Saccharomyces cerevisiae S288C: one gene and its partner. Changing the gene in region 1 together with any one later gene gives a genetic interaction. Each region holds a gene or a part of one and is shown on either strand. Other genes may lie near its edges. The genes, in order: CYB2 and GPM3.

Region 1 (3,932 bases):
AAACATAAATATATATGTGTATATGTTTTCTTTTTTTTTTTTTTTTTTTTTTGAATGATATTAAGTTATACGAATGTTCGATAATATATATGTATGAATAAATAAAAAGTTTTTAAAGTAGCCTTAAAGCTAGGCTATAATCATGCATCCTCAAATTCTGTTAAAGTAGGTCCCTCATAAACTTCATTATACAGCACGTCGTTTGGTACTCCAACTGTTCTTGCCTTTAGTGTTGATAGATCTAAAAGATCAGGCTTCAATTCCGCAATGCTAGTAACACCTAATAGTCTCATAGACATTTCAATTTCATCTCTTAAAATTTCAATGGCTTTTTCAACACCATTACGACCATAGCATGAGTTCGCATACAAGAATGGTCTACCCAAACCAACACCTTTAGCACCTAGACATAACGCTTTCAAGACATCTGTACCACGACGAACACCACCGTCCACGAAAACTTCCAACTTATCCTTCAAGTTACGTTGTTCCAGGATTGGCATGGTTTCAGCCAGGACTTCAATGGGAGCCCTTGAAAAATCTAATTGTCTACCACCATGATTGGATAGAACCACCCCACTTACACCGATTTCTGCTGCTTTGATAACATCTTCGGTACGTTGAACACCTTTGATAACAATAGGTAGTTTTGTCTTTTTCTTCAACTCTTCTATATCTTTCCAAGTCAAAGAGGGGTCAATAAACTTTGATAACGCTCTCGAAGCACCTTGAGATTCTTCTACATTAGTTTTCTTCATCGCTTTTGGACCAGCCTTTGTATTGGAAAATTTCAGCTTCATATCTTTTTCTCTTTGACCTAAACTTGGAGCATCCACAGTGACAAATAATGCCTTTACACCCAGCTTTTCTACATTTTTAACCAAATCATCAGTGATCTTTCTATCAGAGTTAACATATAGTTGGTACCATTGAATTTGTTTATCAGAGGGTGCTGCTTCAATAATTTCCTCAGGGGAACATGAAGCCAAAGTAGATATCATTTGTGGGACTTTTGTCACACCTTGGCCACAACCTCTGGCGACATCTTTTTCACCTTCTAAGGGGTTTCCCAGTTTACACAAAGCTGTAGCAGACACGTAGAAGGGAACATCCACATGAGAACCCAACATGTCAGTTGAAATGTCTACTTTGCGTACATCTACAAGGATCTTTGGTTTGAAAAAAATCCTATGATAAGCATTATGGTTTTCTCTGTGAGTAACTTCGTCGTTAGCACCGGAGGAATAGTAGGCCCACGCTTGTTTAGTCAAAGTTTGAGAGGCCAAGTATTCAAAGTCGTAAAGGTTAATAATATTATCTAGAGGAGGTAGCAGCGATTTTAGTTGTTCTTTTCTAGCGATATCTTCCTTAGTTTCACCAGGAGCATAAGGAGGACAGACAAGTTCAGGAGGCATGGATCCTTGAAGGGGACCCAATTTTTTCTCGGGAGCTATATACTTATCGATGACATTAGGAGCATGTAGTGGTTCAAAAATAGCAGTGACATCTTTCCCGGCGTTAAACTTGATAACATCCTGCCCACCTGGATGATTTGGTAGGAATCGCGTTAAGTCGTATACGTAACCATTGATCACAACCCAACAATCATCGGGCTTGTTATGCTTGGCAACTTCAGCGGGCGAAATCTTTTGTTTATTCATATCCAGTTTCGGCTCGTTGTCTATTTGGCCATTATGCCAGTTTAGATACGCCACGGAACTAGTAGCGGCTAGAATTGCACCGACTCTCAAGGCAGTCCATGACTGTGTGCGTTTTCTTGAGTCTTGTTCGAACGACTTGGATTTTGGAACGGTAGAACCGTACGCGCGGATTGTGTTCAATCTAGTCTTAGACGCTCTGAGGATAGCAGCCTCACAGTTCTTCGAGATTTTTAGTAAAGGTTTGTATTTTAGCATTGACTACTTTTGTTTGCTTTCTTCTCTATGCGGGAACTGTATTAGCGACATAGGATGTAAGAATACGAAAAGATGCAAGAAGATTAGTCGACCAGGTACTTATATATTCACATACTCCAACTGAAAGTATTGGAGATCTAAGGTTCAGCAGTTGGTTCTTGGCGGTTCTTGTATGACATTATTATTGGTCGGGTCGTAGTTCTCTCGAACAGGAGGAGGGGGCAAGGAGATATCGGCAGGCTTTTTGCTAGCGCCTTGTTTGAAAAGCGTGGGGGTAGGTCTCCAAGCGATTATTGAGGAAGTAGTTTCAAGTATTACAGAGTCCAGGGCACAAGGGTCTTCATTATAGAGAGAGAATTTTCGTGAAAAAAATGGGCAGAATGCCACATGTTAGCAATGCAACGACTTGAGTGGGGGGTGATCCTTCCGATGTATGCGTGAAAGATCTCGTGTTGTGCAGGAAAGGGAATCATTTCGGAAAAAAAAGATGCAACAAGGAGGATGGCATGTGGATACTACGTTCTTGCGTAATATCCTTTTTGTTGCCTGTGTTAATACGTGAGCAACATTTTTTGTTAAAGTAGGCGATCAACTATTGCCCCCTGATATTGGTAGTAATTCTGCTAAAATATCGGCTGAGAAATGGTGATTCTCAAATAATTGCTGGGATTCCACTGGATATGGCCCCATTCTTAGATATATGGAACGTAGTAGAAGGCCTCTTAGAGGCTATGGGAGTCTCTCAAGAGAAAATCGACATTTTTACGTAATCATTCGTTCATTTCACTTTATACGTCATGATTCAATATCGTATTACTTTATCAAGTACCCGCGTTTAAACTTCATTAAATGACTGCGTCTCAATCTTTATGTCATCCTCCCTCCGCAAGTGACAATGTACTGGTAAAATAAAAACTAACTAACTAGATGATATTTTTAGAGTTTTATTCCAACGTTTCTCAATAGGCGATGGAGGAACAGAGTGAATATAAGAGGCTCTGTGGATTTATGGTTACCGGATTTATTTCGTAAATTCTTATTGAAGAATGGGTGAATTTTGAGATAATCGTTGGGATTCCATTTTTAATAAGGCAATAATATTAGGTATGTAGAATGTACTAGAAGTTCTCCTCGAGGATTTAGGAATCCATAAAAGGGAATCTGCAATTCTACACAATTCTATAAATATTATTATCATCATTTTATATGTTAATATTCATTGATCCTATTACATTATCAATCCTTGCGTTTCAGCTTCCACTAATTTAGATGACTATTTCTCATCATTTGCGTCATCTTCTAACACCGTATATGATAATATACTAGTAACGTAAATACTAGTTAGTAGATGATAGTTGATTTTTATTCCAACACTTATATTCTATATATCCATAACATTGTCTACATATAATCCGAGAGGTTACGACAACATTCATATAATAAGGGTAGTACTGACACTTTATTTTGAAGTAAATCAAAATAGTCACTCTCGGTAGCCAAGTTGGTTTAAGGCGCAAGACTGTAATTTACCACTACGAAATCTTGAGATCGGGCGTTCGACTCGCCCCCGGGAGATATTTTTTTTCCCTTTTTCTCCAGGCCTAGTGAGGTTTGAGTTTTGAACGTTTTATAGATAGATGTAAGGTAGCCAGAATGAGCACTTAGCCTTTAAAGTAAATTGAGTAGAGATACGTAAACAGTCGTGATAAATATGTAATACATTGTATTATTTTAAATAGGTTAAATTTTCTTTTTTTTTTTTCCATTTCATTTTCATTTTCATTTCCTGCAGTTATTTTTTTTCTTATTAATCTATATCCATGTAATCGTTAGCGATATTGTTGTTAGTCAACGCGGCCATGGCAGTACCGGGTGCTTGTGATGCAATTATACTTTGGGATGGTAGAAGATGATACTGGTGTTGTATAATACTAGCACTTCCAGTAGGACTCGTGCCTGTTATGTCGCGATTAGTGTTACCGAAATAACCATGAATCATGTACTCTTCTGTTTCAG
Region 2 (3,617 bases), on another chromosome or scaffold:
CTCCTTGTTTGATGGGTTATGGTGAAGCTTTAACTAAAATGAAGGGTAAAGTCACCGCACCTGAAGGGTCCGTTTACCACGAATGGTGTGAAACTTACGCATCTTCATGGTATCGTGAAGCCATGGATGAAGGTGAAAAACTTTTGAACCACATCTTAGAAACATACCCTCCAGAGCAACTTGACACTTTAGTAACAATCTACGCTGAAGTTTGTGAATTAGAAACAAATTTTTGGACCGCTGCGCTAGAATACGAGTAGATAAGATGGCTTATGCACAATAGATAAAGATATACCTACATATAATGAATTATAAAAACAAAAAAATAATAATAAGAAAAAAGTTTCTTTGTTATACAATCTATAAAAACTTCTTATAGAAATTTAAACACGTTTATTTAGCTGCTTTTCGTTACTCATTATTCTATCAATAAAGAAAGAAGGAAATATAAAAGGAAACCATGAAAAAAATGGCGCTAATTTTTTATTTTTAAAAACTATTCATGGATTCTTTTCGAAACCCTCATCACGAACCATTTGAGCATTAACTTTAGCTGATTCTGGATCCAAGTAAAATTTCCTCACAAAAGAGTAATTGTCTCTATCCAACTCTATAACTAGCGGAATGCCGTTGGGAATATCGACATCTTTGATGTCTTCATCTGAGATACCTTCCAATACTTTCAGCAGAGATCTTACAGAGCTGCCATGCCCAACTATAACACACGATTCTTGACTGATTTTGTTGGCGGTAGACAGAACAACATTATTTAAAAATGGTTTCAATCTGACGACCACTTCACAAAGAGACTCACTTTCTGGCAGACGCTCATTAGCCTTCTCTTCGGGGCCGTATTTTAAGTGTCTATTGGGCTCCTTAAAATCATAGCCTGTGGAGGACCCCTGATCATTTTCCTCTTGGACCATTTCCAGGTTTAGGTTGACTTTAGGGGGTTTTCCGTTGTAATCTCTTCTGATATACATGTATTTTTCCTTACCGTATTCTTTCAAGATATCTGGCTTTCTTTGTCCTTGCCATGCGCCGTAATGACGCTCATTTAACCTCCAGGTTTGCAACACAGGCATACTTCCTTCAAATCTTGTGTCCTGCAGCTCCTCCTTAATGTTTGTATTCGTAGTAATTACATAATTGGTGTGTTTTAGTCCCAACTCTTCGAGAATAACGTCCATGGTCTGCTGAGTTCGAATCAACCTTGAAGTATAGCCAATCTGAGGCAAAGAGATATTGTTAGAATCGCAAAACTGCTTGATCAATTTTGCAGAGTGGCGGGCCTGAGACTTCCCTTTTTCCGTTAATTGAGCATCAATCCATCCGCAGAATATGTTTTCTGAGTTTAATTCACTTTGACCATGCCTTAAAATAAACAGTTTAAAAGTGTCAGTAACAGTCATAACTATTCGTTATTAGTAGATCTTTTTGCACTATTTCTCAATCCTCTCAAAGAGACTTTTATTGTAAATCCTCGATTGCAGGTTGTTTTATCACATATGTATAAAATGGAAGCTTCTATTGTTTTATCGAACTTGTCAATGAAATCTCGCATTGTTATCATCTCATAATACAAATCTGAAAAAAAAAGTTAAAAAACAAAGGAAAGTCACACAAAACTAGCAAAAGTAACAAATCAAAATTCGCTGACAGTTAGTGCTGTCGTATCCTGTCACACTTACATAATATATATCTGTTTACATAATCTAATAGCTTGAACAAAAGCAACAGCAAAGGTTGCTAATTAAAACGTGTGCTCTTAAGGACATCATAATTCTCTATCAAGGAAAGATTGGAGCATACCCTGTGGGGTTTCATCATATTCTTTCAGGGTTACCTTGTTATTGTCGTCAATATAAGAATTCGATTGTATGAATTGTCTCCTTGGCAATCTCTTAGATAAGACGATGTCTCTTAAAGACGCCAAATCCGGTGTCACCGTTGATCTATCAATAAAGTACTTACTTCCCTGTTCCACATCGCCTGAACATTTGTAAACATGCAAATGCTTTAAATAGTCTTTCACACATTCATGTCCCGCTGTTTTAATGAGAGATTTATCCAACTTGATGGCAAAATCATCATTCGTGCTGTTCATCTCCAACTTTAAGAAATTCTTATCTGTAGAGTGCTTCATAAATGTTTTCATGATAGAAAATCTTGCTTGCATGTGTGGTTGTCCCCACTTACCAGTTTTTGGATTCCAGTATTCTAAAGCTAGGAGACCCGCACGGGCCATTTGTAGATATCCAGCGTAGATCACTTTATCTTGAGATTCGACATCATGGAAACCAAAAATATCAAGAATCTTCTTATTAGTAAGCAAAAACATGGCAATTACTTCCGCACGACATTCTTCAAATGGGCCAGCTAACTGTCCAAATTTGGAACCCCAAGTTTCACCAACTTTGTAGTATGTGCTCACCGGTTTCCCATCCAAACCTAAAGGAGGGTTTTCCTTATCAAAATTAAAGCCGTCTGTAAATTCTGTCAACAACTTTCCTGAACCATGTCCTAATAATTCATGGATGCCTACTTGGACTTCAAAAGAATCACTTTGATATTTTTCAAAAATTGGGCGATCTTCTTGCGATATAAAACTTGGCGGATGCTTGGATGAGCTTTTGGCAGCCGCGCTTAAGATATTCCCCAAAGAAACATTCTTGAACCCAATTTTAAGCCGAACATCATCATAGTTTGGAATATTGATGCCCGCTGGTATACCCGATCCAGTAAACGTTAATACTTCTAGAGAGGTGAAATCTGGTGGATTGAAAATCGGTTTTTCGTAATCTTTAGACCATGGTAGTAAGGAAATGAATTCTTCTGCGTTGTTAACCAAGCTGGAAAATTTAGCAGTACGTTCTTTGTTTTGAATTGCAACCAACGATTCAAATTCTCCAATTATGCCCGAGGGTTCTCTATATGTTTCGATAAAACCGATATTTGTTTCAATGACGGGAGATATATCTTTGACCCAAAGTTTTTGTGCTTCTTTATGTGCTTGAGAAGAGCCAGTGACAAAGTGGTTGATGTATTCCTGAAGCATTGCTTTTTGAGTATCATTAGCCGCGAATTTTTGAGCTTCCTTTAAATACGATGCTACTAAACGCATTTCACGTGAATGATCACCAAAAATGAATTCTACTTTGGTTACAGCATTGGATAATGTGATCTGTCCACTGGGGTAGGTTTCTGTTATCTGGTTTTTCACATTCTCAGAGGCAACCCAGATTTGGAAACTGTTTTCACCAACTTTGTTGATTCTTGTGTTTTCAGGCAAGATGGCAAGTTCAGCAAACAACTGCTCTTTCAAAAGAGCCATATCTTCAGGTGTCACAGGTAAACCCAGATAATAGGCTGAAGTATAACCTTGAGAGGGAAACCCTAAGAGAGCCGCCTTCTCTTCCACATGGTAAATACCAATATCAATTAGCTCATTGATGGTGGAAAAAAGATGATGAGATGTGAATTCATGGTTAACGTCAACAGGAGATAAAGTGAGCGGAGAAGAACACGGATTAATCTTGGCCAGCTCCAAAAGCTGTTTGAAGAATTTTACCTCACAACGAGGAATAAACTTAGTGTCACCAAACGATTTGAAATTA

What was found.
Region 2: mutations in CYB2 (region 1) and GPM3 together harm fitness more than expected from each alone (negative genetic interaction), as found in Saccharomyces cerevisiae (one large-scale study listed by BioGRID).

Annotation. Positions count from the first base shown.
Region 1 is NC_001145.3:165,393-169,324, forward strand, and holds CYB2 (L-lactate dehydrogenase (cytochrome)), read right to left. Parts: upstream 1,917-3,932; coding exon 141-1,916; downstream 1-140. Other genes in the region: YML054C-A (uncharacterized protein), read right to left, coding at 2,231-2,389; YML053C (uncharacterized protein), read right to left, coding at 3,724-3,932. UniProt on the Saccharomyces cerevisiae protein: Catalyzes the oxidation of (S)-lactate (L-lactate) to pyruvate with subsequent transfer of electrons to cytochrome c. Is involved in the utilization of (S)-lactate as a sole source of carbon for growth.
Region 2 is NC_001147.6:221,063-224,679, reverse strand, and holds GPM3 (phosphoglycerate mutase family protein GPM3), read right to left. Parts: upstream 1,413-3,617; coding exon 501-1,412; downstream 1-500. Other genes in the region: THI20 (trifunctional hydroxymethylpyrimidine kinase/phosphomethylpyrimidine kinase/thiaminase), read left to right, coding at 1-260; YOL057W (dipeptidyl-peptidase III), read right to left, coding at 1,778-3,617. UniProt on the Saccharomyces cerevisiae protein: Could be non-functional.